2 linked regions of the Struthio camelus genome follow. The protein of the gene in region 1 purifies or fractionates together with the protein of each later gene. This does not show direct contact. Links are inferred from orthologs where the notes say so. Each region holds a gene or a part of one and is shown on either strand. Other genes may lie near its edges.

Region 1 (7,283 bases):
TTTTTTTTAATTGGCTATATATTTTTGTAAGTCTGTAGTATTTTCTGTAATACATCTACCCTTCCTGACTGAGGTTCCCTCCACAGGGACAGGAACTGTTTGCTCTTAGTTCACAAACAACTTTCAAATACAGTAAAGGACTACACCTAAGCTATTCTCCTATCTTCTCCCCTTCTTGAAGGCTGAAATAGGATCCAAAGCCACACTGCTGTGAATTTTTTATTTCTTGGTGTAGCAAAAGCCTAACCCTCAAAGTTTTAGCTAGAAAAAGCCCAGGTCTATAAATAATGCCTATTGATTCTTCCTAGAAAGATTTAGGGCCTAGCCCAGACAATATATGCAGTGTCTACACTGGAAGGTCTGTTTGCCATCAGGGACCTAACAGAAAGTCTTTGCATGGCAGCAGGGCCCAAAAGACCCTGGCTGCCCCTGTGAAACACTTTCTGAGCAGAGATCTTGGAGACAGCTGGTTACAGAGGGCATGAGAGCTGGTGAGCATTGCGAGGGCTCAGCGCATGGGGCTTGGCCACCCACGAGTGCAACTCTGTCTGCGGATATAGAGTGCCTGAAGGACTCAGTAACCTCCGTGCTGGATGGGAGAAGCCTTTCTAGAGGTTAAGAATCTCCTGTTTATCTCTGCAATCCGATCCCTTCAAGGCTGTCCCAAAAGCCAGATAGTTGCTGTGCAGATGGACTGGCAAGAGTAAATAGGAAAGAAAAGGGAAACGCTACTCCAGTGATAGTTAACACTTCTTTTTGCAGTAGATGGTCGAGCTTTCTGGAGGGACGTGAAAATCATAAAGTGTCCATACCGGACTAAGATCCTTCCCCACAAGGACATCAATAAATTCAGTTTCTAGATTTCATCCATGTCATCTTCCAAGGCCAAATCTCTTTCTCCCTCCGGATTTCCAGACTTCTTTCTATTTTTCTCATTTCTCTTCTTTCCTTTTTTCCCATTTCTCTTTGGTATGATTTTTGCATGCACATCTTTTCACCAATGCACACACTGCACGTGCTAATCCCAGAAGAGGAAGTAGCCAAGAGGAATGATACAAAGGTTCAGGGGGGGCAGAAGTACTGTGCACCACCCACGTGGCCAAAGCCTCGTTGCTCTACGGGTCTGAGGACAACTTTGAATGTTGTTTACAGCAGGTGGTTGGCTACATAACTTAGTGGCATGTACACACCATTTGCTATGTATCAAACAAGTGCACACATGTTCATTAGGCAATTGTAATGGCAATGAATCAAGGTATATAAATGTAATCCCAAGTGATCATAAACTTATCATTTATGTGAACTGGAAACACATCAATATATAAAGGGCTGCCCCTTAGTGATGTCTCTGACACAAGTTAGAACAAAGAGCATCACTTTTAGCCTAAGATACCTTTGTGTAATGCCTATCTGTAGCCTCATATCCATTTCTTATAGTAATTACCAAGGTAGTCCCAGTAGGCAAGAAGATCTCTGTGCCCTGTCAGATGAAATACAGCAGCACCACTGATGAATCTGGAAGAAACAAAGAAGAAATCTGTAAGAAAAGAAGGAAAACAAGCAGAAGAAGCAGAAGTCCTCATTCAGAGTCACAGCTTCCAAAAATAAGATGCGTCTCCTCTCACACCTTCCTCTCACACCATCAAAGTAGAAGGAAAGGGACTCATAAGACCTTTGCCCAGTTTTTGGCTCATTGGGACTATAGGCAGGACCACTGAAGCCTGATGTTAAAAAGTCCAAACTTTTTGCCACTCTGAGAGGCTGGCCTGCAATCTCTACTCCCCTTCAGTTCCCCTGTCAGTAGATGATAATGTTTCCTATCTTGCATTCCTTATCTATAATTAATTTGGAGAATTAATTAAGCATGAATTAAAAAAAAAAAGGAATTAATTAAGTAGGAACCAAACTATTTCAGTGGCAAAAAAGTTACCCAGCACAGGAGAGGGCAGAACCACTCAACCTGCTCAACCTTGGTTGCCCCTGCCGGGGAGAGCTTTACTGGGAGACCTGAAGGATCCTTAGCTATGGGGCACAGCAGCCAAAACCCTCTCATTCTGGCAAATTAGGAGCAGGTTTCCCACATCTTGCACAGGAGAAAAGGCAAAATGGAGAATTTGTTGCTAGCGCTGTCTGGGAAGCATGTGTGAACGCCTGTGGGCTACAAATAGAGCCATGGCATGAAGACCAGACCCGGCAGCTGGTAACTGAAGCTTCTCCATGGAGCGAGGGGGGGCTGACAGTTAGGAGCTTTACTGGAGTGAAGCACAGCCACTGCCGCCACTGCGAGAGCCGTGGGAGCCGCGGGTGGGTTTCCCGTTGGAGCCTGCGGGCCTTGTGCAGCCCTGCCGCGGCACAGCTCTTGCCTCACGCGCTCTCCAGCCAAGGAAGGCGATGCTGTCAGTTTGGGCAGATTTCCATACACGGGTATGGAGAGTAGACATGACTTCATGCTCCTCGCTAGACTCGGGGCGCTGCCAAAACTCGGAGTCCTATTTCTACCCGCCTGGAAAAGAGATGCTTCCCGAATTCAGCTTGAGGGCCGCATAGCTGGTGGCAGGTGAACAGCAGTGACTGGGTGGCAGCCTGGGTGCCAAACTGAACAGCTCTGGCTTCTGCTTCAACTGGGCTACCAGCAGATTTGCCATCACACCCACACGCTGATGAGCTGACTTTCTCTAGATGAGCTCAGCCTCTGTTTGCTGCTTTTCAAGAGGTGGCATGTTTGTGCAGCTTGGGTACCACTCCGAACACACCTTAACAAAATTCCCCTCACGCGTGCTATTTTATTTTAAGATATATGCCGCTTCTGGAAGATGAGCAGCATGATTAGGTACAGTGCCCCATCCTGTTACAAAAACCGAATATGTCTCCAGCCCCACCATGGAGAAGAATCAGCACTGGAGAATGGAAATCTAACCACACTTGAAAGGTCAGGCTACGATATTTGTTTCTCTCCCTAAAATATCACACCCCTTTTATCCCCACATAACTCCAGCTGCGAAGCAGGGCCACTGCGTGCGGTTAAACAGCCTCACCGCCCGCATTGCGGAAAGCGGGAGCATCCTGCCCCAAAACGCCGCACGGGCCGGGTCCAAAGTCGACCCAAGCCCTGTCTCGCGCGGCAGGGGCAGCGGCCCTGGTGCCTGCGTGGGCCCACACGAGGCCTGGCGGCGCGAGGCCCAGGCACGGCCCTCACTGCTGCACCGGCAGCAGGCGCCGCGAGAGTAACGGCCATACCAGGGACTTGGCTTAAAAAAAAAATAAAAAAGGTAAATTTAGGAAACGGCCACTTCAGTTGGGTCCGAAGTTCACCCGAGCGATTAGTTCATTCTGACGACGCGCAGCTCACCGATTTACCTCAGCGGCAAGAGGCTGGTGACAGCGCAGCGGGGACTTGGTCAAGAGAGCGCAGGCCGTGGCTGAGCACCTCGGGATCGCTCTCAGGGGCTTTTCAACCATTTGGGGAAAGTTACACGCGGGTGGGGGTGGGGGGAGGGTCAGGCCCTGCGCTGCCCACCCGCCGAGGGGAGGGCGCGCCCGAGGCGGCGCGGGCCGCAGCGTCCCCTTTAAGAGGGGCGGCGTGGGGCGGGGGGGACGCTCCCGCGTTCACACCTGGAGTGGGAAAGGGGGGCGGGACCTCGCGCCTCTGATTGACGGGCGGCCGCCCTCAATGGGGCGCCGCGGAGCCGTGGCGGGGAGGGGGCAGGGGGCGGCGCAGCGCGGCCAATCGCAGCCGGTGCGGGCAGGCCGCCGAGCGGCCGCTAGCCAATGGGCGGCGGCGCGGCGCGGGGGGCGGCGCGGCCGCACGGTGCGATGTAGCCAACGTGGGTTTGAGGCGAGCGGCGCTCGGGGGCCGGAGCGGGAGCGAGCGCGGTGGGGCCGGCCCGGCGGCGGAGCAGCAGTAGCGGCGGCGGCAGCGGCGAGGCCGGTCGTCAGCGGCTCTCAGCCCAGCGGAGGCGTGCGGGGGCGGCGCTGCGAGCGCGGGCCGGAGCCGAGCGGCGCTGAGGCCGCCCTTGCGCGGAGCGAGGAAGCGGAGAAGGCGCCCGCCGCTGCTGCCGCCGCCACCGCCGCTGAGGAACTTTGTCGGCGCCGGGAGCGCGGCTGCGGCCCGCCGCCCCGCCGGGGGTGGATGCCGGGGGCCGAGGCGATGCCGCGGGCGGCGTAGCGCTCCGTGCTCGCAGGGCTCCGCGGGGCTAGCGCGGACTGCTGCGCCTGCCCCCCCCTTCCCTCCTCCGGGCCCCCCCCCCGGCCCGCCGCCGACCCCGCTCCGGTGCCGGATACAAAATGGCGGTGCCGTTACGGGGCGGCGGTGGGTGCGCGCCCGCGGCGGCGCTGCTGCTGGCGCTGCTGGGCTGCGCGGCCGCCTCCGCCGGCTGCCCGGCCGGCTGCGCCTGCGGCGGCGGCGAGCTGCTGGGCTGCGGCGGGCTGGCGCTGCCCCAAGTGCCCCGGGACCTGCCCCGCTGGCCGCGGCACGTGTGAGTACGGGCGGGGGCGGCGGAGCGGGGCCGGGGGCGGCGGGCGGCGCGGCCTTGCTCGCCCGTCGCGCAGGGGCTGCCCCGCGCAGGGCCTGGGTGTTGCGTGTTTTATGCCGGGTAGGGTAGCGCACGGAAGTTCTCCTAAAAGGAAAAAAAAATCCCCAAATTTCCTTTTATTTTTCTCCCCTCCTTCCTTTTCTTTCTTCTAAGTGACACTAGTTTCTGCCTGCTTATAGCTGTTGAGTGCATGGTATGAAATCTCGGGTGTTCCTCTTATCTGCCTCCAAAGTTGAACGGGGGATGGAGATAAGGCAAAGGTTGCCGTGTGGTTGCGTTTCCAGCTGTACTGGGCTGAGCGGGAGTTTGTTTTCTCTCAGCCGGTCCCTTTTTAGACTTATTTTCCTTCTGTTCCTTTATACTGACCCCTCGGGATGGGGGGTAGGGGGAAGAGATGAGAGCAGATCTTGTTGTTAATTATATGATGTGCTGCAGATAAAAAGGCCAGCTTTGGATGACTGGACTTGGGCTCCTGAATCCTTATTTGGACATGTCAATAAATGGCCTGATTCTCAAAACTGGTGAGCGCCCGAGCTCTGCCCGGCGGCTCTGAGAACCGGGCCCTTCGCAAGGTGCCCAAATATGGACCTGAGCGCTCCCGGCCAGGCGCTCGATTTTGGTGTTTTGAGCCATAAACTCTTAAGGTGTGAAAGTCAGCAGGAAAATGTTGGCAGAAATGGACTTGCGGGCTCCTAAACTGTATTGCGTGGTCATGGTGCTTTTGGGGAGCTTGTGAGGAAGTTGATTTTTCTCAAAAGCTGTGAGTGAGAGTTGTAGCTCACTTGGCTACTTGTGGTTCCCTCTGTTCTTGTCTGTTTGTTGAAGATACTAATCTGCCAAATGTCATGGTTTAGCAGATGGCAGCTAAACGTGTGCTATGGTACCTAGTGGTTAGTCAAGGGCCGTTGCGGGTTTTTCCCTCTAAAATGATATTTTAAAGTAGTTAAATGTATAGACACACAAACACTCAGCAAGTGAAGAACAGTGTAATTTCCATTTCCTGTAAAGCGCAGTGGATCTACTCCTGTTGTGTAACTGCGGAGTGTTGTGCTGTGACCTGACCTGATAAGATCTGAAGTATAAAATGAGACAAGTGAAGGGGGGGGAAGTGTGCTCGGCTTTGACAGCTCAATTCATTTGACAGTCTTAATACATCAGAACTGGGAGTGTGTGTGTTCATACACTCATATAAGTAAGTGTCCTTAACTATTAGCTCCTTAACCTCTGGAAATGAAGACCCAGGAAGGGAGAGGAAAGTGTCTCAGCTCTTCCATTAAATCTATAAAATTTCTAGCTGTAACAGATACTCCGTACCTCTGTCGGGAGAGAAAATGGTCACTGCGGTATTGTTGGAGATTGTCCAACTTTTTAATAAATAGAATTATTAGGGGTTTGTCAGGTTCTCTTGGTATTATTCATTTTGGCTGCAGAAATGCCCTATTTTACATGAAATTATTGGGTGCTGTGCTGAATTATTGAGACTAGCGTTTGGCCCTTCGTAGTCCAATGCCTGACTCATCGTGTTCACCTGTTGCTGTGTTCTCTTGCACAGTACAGATCCTTCATTCAGCCTTAGATAATCTTCATATAAAGTTTTTAATTTTCTCCCCATAATTCCAGAATTCCAAAGTCCTTTTAAAATAGGACAGTGCATCTTTATTCACGTAGAGAAATGTATTTATAGCCCAGTTTGAACAAACTTATTGTGTTTTTTTCAGGAGTGCTAATACCGACGAGTGTCTTATTCATATGGAACAGATTTTTGAATGTCTTGAGTTCAGTTTAAATTTTATTGGTGAACTCATCATGCATATAAATCTACTACTACAGACCTGTGGGCTGTTGATCGTTTAACCACTTAGATAAAATATGATTTGTCACTCTGTAAATTCTAAACTAACCAAAGAATTAGCTAAAGTGGAAGTTTGTGATGGCTTTTGTATCTGACAATGCAAAACTCATGTTTCTTCCTTTTTCCTAATGAATATAGAAGGCAGACATTTAAGCTATTTACTTATGTACTTTGTTTTTAAAGTAGTATTCTAATACACTAAAAATCAATTATTTAAGTTTAGAGAAACAAAACCAAGGCACTCATCTTTCATGATTCATAGGCTCATAAACGCTAATTTCTGGTGCAGTGGGTTGCTAACTCATTTTGAATAGTTGTTTAATGTTCTCTATAAAAACACCGTATGCTGAAGAAACATGACTTTATCTCCATGTAAATGTGTCAGTCAGTTTTTATTTTGCACGTGCCTTTTTAAAGAAGTCAAAGGCAAATGTTAAGATGTGCAGGAGCCCCAGACCAGTATGGGGATGCAGTCCTAGCATGTGGGTCCCGTGGACCCCCTCGCTGGGGTCCCTCAGGAGGGAGCAGGACGAGACAGGCGGTTGTAGCCGGGCATCCCATGTCTCCTGCCAAAGGTGTCTGCCTCCTGCCTGCTGCTGTGCCGGGGTGATAAGCTTGGGCATGTTAGATGGCTAAGTGAGGTGAGCTAAATCCTATTCTCCCTGACTTTTGGTGGCTGTGCTTTAACTTTGTTAAAGTGCTTTAGAAAACCCTTCCCCAGCAGTTTATCTTTTTTTTTTTTCCTTCTTAATTAGTGCCACAATGCTGAAGCAGTGCTTGGAGTCGATTTTCAGTGTGTTTCAGATAAAGCCTTTGTTTGAACTGTTAGAAATGTGGCTCTTGCACACTAGGCAGAGTTCTGGGACTGACTTAATCATGCTGTATATTTTGTCAACAAG
Region 2 (6,898 bases), on another chromosome or scaffold:
GAGGGCTGGAGGCCCGCGGCGCGGCGGCATCCTCGGCTTTACGGTGCCGGGCCAGAGCGACGGTGCCGCCTCCGCTCCCTGGGAACGGTCTCGTCCGGATACTTCGCAAACGGATATTTAAAAAAAAAAAAAAAAAATCCCCTGAGTTAGGTGTTTGTGGCTGAAGGGAAAGCAGTAAAAGGCTGATTTATGCTCTGAGCCACGAAAGACTATTATCGCTTCTGGTTTTTTTTACCTACGTGTATATAACTGCCTTGCCCTTAAATGCCTCATCCCTTTCCGAACTCCTGCGCGAGCTCCCGGGCTCGGGTCTCCAGCGGGGGCAAGCGCGATGGGTTAAATGTGCTGTTTTTCGAGAGTAAGTAGCTCAGGAGCTTCCAAAGCACCGGTTTCCATCCACGCCGGACATCTGGATATCCTCGTCGGCCCACGGAGGGGCGGTAGCTGCCTTTCTGCCTGTGCTGTGCTCCGGCACGCTCTCCCTTGGCTCAGCTTTGCGGCTTTGGGGAGCGTTGCTCCATCACTCGGCGTTTTCCCCAGCCTTTTGCGTGCGTCTTTCTTAACACCGCTGGTACGGCCCCGGGAACCGCGGCTGCTGCTTCGTGGTGGGGGGAAACCCAGCCCTCTCCCACCGACACGGGGATTTAGGAGTTTGACTCTAGGCATATACGTGTAAAAATAACGGCCAATTATTTCTTCAGTTTTATTAATTACCATTAGGCTTGCAAGTCATTTATGACCCTTTTTAATTCAACCTCTCAAGAAAAAAGATTACTTTAGGGGAAAAAAAAAAAAAAGAAAAAAAAAAAAAGAAAGTCATTTCGTGGAGGATTAGCGAAAGCTGCGGCTGTGCCATAAAAGCGAGCTACTTGGCGGGAGGGGACTCTGCGAACGCCGGCGGCACGAGGACCGTCAGATGGCCTGCAAGGCACCTAAGCGCAGAGGGAAGGGGGAACGCCGGAGGGGAGCGACGCCGCGGGGCCTCGCTGCCTTCCTCCTCGGGCCTGCCTTTAATTAGCAGCTTCATTAATGACTGGGAGGGCACGGTAAACACTGTGTTCATCACGTCCGAGCAGGACACGGAGCCAGGAGGAGCTGAAGGCAGCAGCGAGGGCGGTTTCAGCGGCGCTGGAGCCGGCGGGGAAACGCAGGCACGTTTCCTCCTTCCCCCCTCCAGAAGCGCGAGCCGGGCAACGCTGGGCAGAGCGGCTACGATTTTGCGGGGGCCGAACAAAACCTATTGCCTCGGGGTGGGCCAGCGGCCGGAGATCAGTGCTGCGACGGGGCAGAGGCGTTTTAAGGCGCTTCTCAGAAAATCTAGCGTTTCGGAGTCGCGGGCGAGCGGGGGGACGCTTATGGCCGGAGCGATTTAAAATTGCAGCGAGGACAAAGCGCGGAGGGAGCCGGCGACCGAGTAAATCCTTCCTGCCTCTGGATTAGAGAGCAGGGGGCCACCGAGCGCGTTTAAACCAAAACCGTAACGTTTTGGGGGCAGAAATCGCCCCGGCTGCGTCTGGTGCGCCGCTGAAGGACGGCCTGGAGATAGGGGCCGGGAGCGGGGGGGAATCCCTAAATCCAGATAAATCGTGTTTAATAATAATCTGCAGGACACGTAAGTCAAACCAGAGGGAGAGCGCTGCCACGGGCTGTCGGAGAGGAAACGCTCTGCCCACCGGATGCCACTGTTGCTCAATATTAAATCACACGGAAAAAATAAAAAAAACTCCTGCGGCCGGCCAGAGGGTATTGGGAGCTTAAAGACGCCCCGCGCCCCAGGCTGCGACGTCGCGCCCCGGCGCTGGCGGTACTCGCAACTCCTCCGCTCGCGGCGCTAAGTGCCCTGGCCACCGGTCAAGGTGGCGGCGTCAAGGATGGAGGACGGCGTGATAACTCACTTGCATCGCCCCGGGCTCTAAAAAAGCCAACGCTGGCTGCTCGGCTCCCGGTGGGAGAGCCCAGGCGAGGCTCACGTACTCCACAAACACGAGGGCGGTGTGGGAAGGGCGGCAATTGCTTTGCGTGGCCAACTTTGCCCAGCAAACCTTTCCGATGACTGTACAGGCAGCGTTAGGTGAGGAGCCCCGGGTATCTCCGCTGGATCTGCCGCCACCGATCCTGCGGGTACGGCAGCCCCAGCCGGAGCAATTAGTCACTGTTTGCTGAAAGGCGGCTGGAGCGCAAGTTTTCTATTTAAATATTTGAAGGAGTTTAGTCTCGCCGCCTCCCGTCGGCTCCGCGGACGCGACGGAAAGGAATTAGGCGGCGAGAGGCTTCGCCTTGCTGCTCCGGCGGGAGCGGGGCCGGCTCCTCGTTCTCGCGGCCCGAATAACCGGCGCGCAGGGAAGAGGCAGGCTCGGCTCCTCGTGCTGCCCTGCGGAGGGGCTCGGCCGCCCGAAAGGGCTCGCGCGCGGCCTCCCCGTCCCGCAACGCGAAGCTCGCCCCGGCCTCGGCCGCTCGCCCGCGCTGCTCGCCCCTCGGCCATTAATTCATTTCGGCTAGGATTTTCGGCGCTTGGCCGCATCGGGGTGAACGCGAGCAGCAGCAGCCTCCGCTTTGGTGGCGACAGCCTACGTCCCGCAGCGAGCGGGCTCCCCCCTGGGAGCCATTGCGCTCACAGTTGTCCGATTCGGGCAAAATACCGGCCGGCGGCTTCTTTCCGCTCTGGGTCGGGCAGTTTTCGACGGCCAGCTCCCTCCCGGGGACGGGGACGGCAGGCAGGTGACGGACGTTAACGGGGACCTGCCCAGATCAGCGTGCCGCGCCGTCGGCTCGGTTTAGTTCGGGCGGGAATCGCGGGTGCCGGGAAGCTGCCCTTTGGGGGGACCGTTGGGTCACGGGGAAAGACGCTTCGTGGGGGAGGCTACGGGGAGCGTGAATGGATTTTAGGGTGGATTTTAAGCTGAGCGCTGGCTCTTCTGATTGCTCAATTAAGGCTCTTCCTCTGCTCTCCTCTCCCCTCTCCCCGGTGACTTCCAGCCGCACGGCCCACCGCGAGCCGGGGCGCTGCGTCCCCCCGGCCCGGCCGCCCACCCGCCGAGCGCCGCGCTGGCCGCGAAGCGGCAAAGCCCGTGGCAGGGCAAAGCCTGTGGCAGGGCAAAGCCCGTGGCAGGCTGCCGTTCCCGGAGCCGGCTGCCTTCGCTCCGCCGGTCCCGCCTCGCACCGGAGGCGTCCGCGGCCTTCTCGCACGGGCGGGCGACGCGCGGCGGCGCGCCCCGACGCGGCGTGTCGCCCCCCACCCTCGCCGCGTCGAAGCGCGCATCCAGCCCGTATTTTTGCACGGGGCGCGGGGGCGGGGGGGGGGGGGGAAGTGGGGCACAGGCGCAGCTGCGCGCACCCGCCGCTGCCTTCTGCGGGGGAAAGCGGGCGCGCAAAAAACGCGGAGGCGAAGCACAGCGAGCGCGCCCACGCGCGGGCAAGCACGCGCCGCCCCTCACTTTTGCCGGGTCCAACCGCGCGCACCCGGCCGCGCACCGTCGCCCCCGCGCTGCTCCGCGCCCGCACGGTGGCAGCCGCCGCCGCCCCGAGCGCGCAGGTACGCGGCGCGCTCCGCAGGTGCGGGCGGGCGCAGCGCGGCGCGGCGCGGCGGGGCGGGCCAGCGCGCCGCCGGCCCCCGCCCCGCTCCCGCCCTCCTTCCTCCCGCTCCTCCTCCTCCTCCTCCTGCTGCTGGTGCTGGTGCTCCGCTCCGCGCGGCGCCCGCGCGCGTATTTCCCCGCAGCGGGCGCCGCGCCGCCTGGCTGCTTCCCCCGCCGCCGCAGCGCGCCCGCGGAGGGGGGGGGGGGCGGCGGACAACTTTCGGGCGCTGCGCGGGGCTGCGCGGAGGCGATGGCGGCAGCGCTGAGCTGAGCGGAGCGGAGCGGAGCTGCCCCGGCGGCGGCGGCGCGATGCCGGCGGCGGCGGCGGCGGCCGGGGGGCTGCTGTGGTGGAGCTGCGTCCTGGCGGCGGCGGCCGGCTCCCCGCGGGCCGCCGCGGCGCAGGCAGGTGGGTGCGCGATCTCCCCCGCGGAGGGGCCCCGCTTTCGCCCCCCTCCTCCCTCCCCCCGGCCGGGTGCGCGGAGAGGAGCGCGGAAAAAGAAAAGGGGGGGGGGGGGAAAAAAGAAGTATTCAGGCACCAGCTACTTATTATTTTGCTGTTTGCTCCCCGCGGAGGGGGAGCGCGCAGCGGCTCGCCCGCCTCCCTCCAACTTCTCCGCGGCCGCGCAAACGCCGCGAGTTTGGTCCCGCGGGGAAGTGAAAGCGGGCGGCGAGCAAAACCGCGGCCGGGGTCTTGGGGGGAGGAGGACGGGGGGGGGATATGTCCGGCGGGGGCTGCCTCCACGGGGGCGGAGGACCCTGTTATTCCCGTTATTATTAAGGACTGCAGTCGCTAGGCTTTGGCGGCGGGCGGCCCTTTGCCGCGGCGCTGCGCGGGGGTCGCGGGCGGTGCGCGCCCGGCTCCGCGCCCCGGGGCCCCCAGCGCCGCGAGCTGCGCGCAGCGCGCTTCAATCCCTTTCAGAGAAAAGGAGGAAGAAGAAGAAGCGAGATTGGGGGTGGGGGGGGAGAGGAAAAAACCCAAGCCCAACCCCAGCACGCAAGCAAACCCGCGCGGAGGCAGCGCGGCGGCGCGTGTAACTTGCGGCCGTGAGAAAAGTTGCGCCGCTGCGTGCGCGGCCGGGCTGCGCGCCGGGGCTCGGGGAAGCGGCCGAGCAGCGCACGGCAGGGCCCCGGGGAGCGCCCGCTCCTGCGGAAAGGGGGCCCGTGAACCCCCCCCCCCGGCATCCGCGGGGGGCAAGGGGGGGGGGACGGGACTTTCCCTGGCAATTCCGCAGAATTCATGTCGTTTGGGCAGCGCTGGGGCGGCAGCTCCTCGTTCGCGCGGTTGGGTTTGTATTTCGGGGTTTTATGTCACGGAGAGGGTGCTGTGTTTGAAGAGAAGTCAAATAAGCACGTCCCGGCTTTTTTCTTTTTTTTCTTTTTTTTTTTGGTTTTTAAATTCAGCTTTCCTAGCTGGGTTTCGCAGGCGTTTTTGCTTTTAGCGTGTGCTTTCCTTCTTCGGCGGGCGATCGTTTCCTAATTCTTGAAATCAGGAGAGGCAAAACACCAGACTTCTGCTGCTGCTTGCTCTTAGGTTTTCTTCTCCTATGGCTTTAATAGGTAAAGGAATACTGCCTTCCTTATTTCCCAGGCTCTTGTTTGCTGTTTTCCGTGGTAGGCATGTGGTTTTTTTTCACCTCCCTCCTTGTTTCTTCCTGCACAGCCTCTTTCTTCCACTGACTTGATACTTTTTCCATCTTCTACTTTTTTTTTTTTCTTTTTGGTAGCCTCCCCTTTCTCCCCCTTTCTCTTTCCTGTTATTTCTCCCCTAGCAACCTTCCACTCTGGCACTGCTGGCGCTCGCTCAGTCGCTTTCCAGTCCTCCTTTTTTGATCAATCTGATATGGCTGGCTGAGTGGACAATTGCAGAGCCACTCCGTTGCCCAGATTTATACCCGAGTGAAAATAAAAGGCATCGATCCAGGGGCGCTTGCGTCGCTTCCCCGCGCCGACTCCCAAGGCCGCCTCGGAGGAAGGCTCCTGGTTGCTTTTGGTCCAAAAAAAAAAAAAAGCCTCTGTTCCTTGCAGCGTGTAAAAAGGAAATCCATTTATTAAAATAACAGGGTTGGAGCGACCCTTTGTGTTTTAAGGGGCTTGGGGGCCGCTGCGGCCAGTGTCTGCTCTCGAGTGGCTCTTTCTGCTTGGCGCTCGCTGCAGCAGTGAGTCAGGCTGGGCAGGTGGGCTTTGCTCTTGAAGTATTGAGGGCCCAGTCGAATTGGGGGCTAAAACCCTGGTTTTCGGCAGCCTTTGGCTCGGGCCCTGCCCGCTGCCTTGGCTCGCAGGGCGTCGAGGGAGATGACGGCAGCTCCGCTCATGCGAGTGAGCGGTCGTGCAAACTTTGGTTTTCATTACCCTGTGTCTGTTGGTTGAGATGTAAATGCATAAATACATTTTTTTTTTTTGATTTCTTTTATCTGCGTGCACAGGCGTATAATGTTTGCGGTGCGCAGCTCAGACGGGGTCACGTGAGCCAAACAGCTTGGGCTGTTACCTGGAAGCTGGCGAGCCTTTGTTCTGCTTGAAAATAGCTGATGAATTAAGTCCTTCTTGTGATATAGGGGACTGCTGAGTTGTTAAATAATTACAGCCAAATTAACTTAGCGCTGTTTGAAGTATCAGCTGCTCCAAGAAATTAATTGTACTTCAAATGTTTTTGCACTTTTTGTCCCCCCCCCCCCCCCCCCCCAGCAAAGAGCGCGTTCAGGCCGATTTGCGCGCTGGCTGTGACCTCGGGCCGCTGCCGCTCTCCGGGCCGCGTCAGGCGGGACGTGCCCCGTGCCTTTGGAGAGGGGCATCTCTGCGGCTTTGCAGCCGCCCTCCTTGGCGCCTCTCCTGGTCCTTCTGCCCCGACGCCTGTCCCATGGCTAAAATTAGGTTGAGCTGTGAGCGCCTTTGCAAACGCACGGTAAATATTGACTGGGAGTTTCAGCCTATCTCCGCGGCTAAAGGGCTCGCTGTCTGCAGAGGGGAAGTCTCCTCTCAGCTTTTTGCTGGAGGGGACGGCATCCTGTTAGGGGCTCCGGGTCCAGCACGGGAGTCCCGCTGCCCTCCGTGTCTGCGGCTCCGGCCGCAGCCGTCCCCTGGCGTCCCGAGCTGAGCTGTGCCGGGGACCTGGACGTCTCCGGCAGCCGGCGGCGCGAGGCAGCTCTCGGAGCTGCCGAGTACCTGAGCGACTTACTTAGCCGGGACTGCTCTTTATTTATTTTAAAGAGGCGATAATTGATGTTCGTGCATATGGATTCTGGCACCAAGAGCTGCGCTTGTAATTAATGTGAAAACAGTGATAATAAGGACCCGAATTACACGCCTGTGAGCAAACAAAACGAGAC

The links. The genes of interacting proteins can lie anywhere in the genome.
Region 2: the proteins of LRIG1 (region 1) and ERBB4 purify together in Homo sapiens (affinity purification with western blotting; 3 studies listed by BioGRID and IntAct, with this or other methods). This does not show direct contact. The link is inferred for Struthio camelus from reciprocal best matches to the Homo sapiens genes LRIG1 and ERBB4.

What each region holds. Positions count from the first base shown.
Region 1 is NC_090955.1:13,778,705-13,785,987, reverse strand, and holds the start of LRIG1 (leucine-rich repeats and immunoglobulin-like domains protein 1), read left to right. Parts: upstream 1-4,269; 5' UTR 4,270-4,284; coding exon 4,285-4,475; intron 4,476-7,283. UniProt on the Homo sapiens protein: Acts as a feedback negative regulator of signaling by receptor tyrosine kinases, through a mechanism that involves enhancement of receptor ubiquitination and accelerated intracellular degradation.
Region 2 is NC_090947.1:5,984,284-5,991,181, forward strand, and holds the start of ERBB4 (receptor tyrosine-protein kinase erbB-4), read left to right. Parts: upstream 1-3,881; coding exon 3,882-3,978; intron 3,979-5,051; exon of another isoform or gene 5,052-5,116; coding exon of another isoform or gene 5,117-5,129; intron 5,130-6,898. UniProt on the Homo sapiens protein: Tyrosine-protein kinase that plays an essential role as cell surface receptor for neuregulins and EGF family members and regulates development of the heart, the central nervous system and the mammary gland, gene transcription, cell proliferation, differentiation, migration and apoptosis.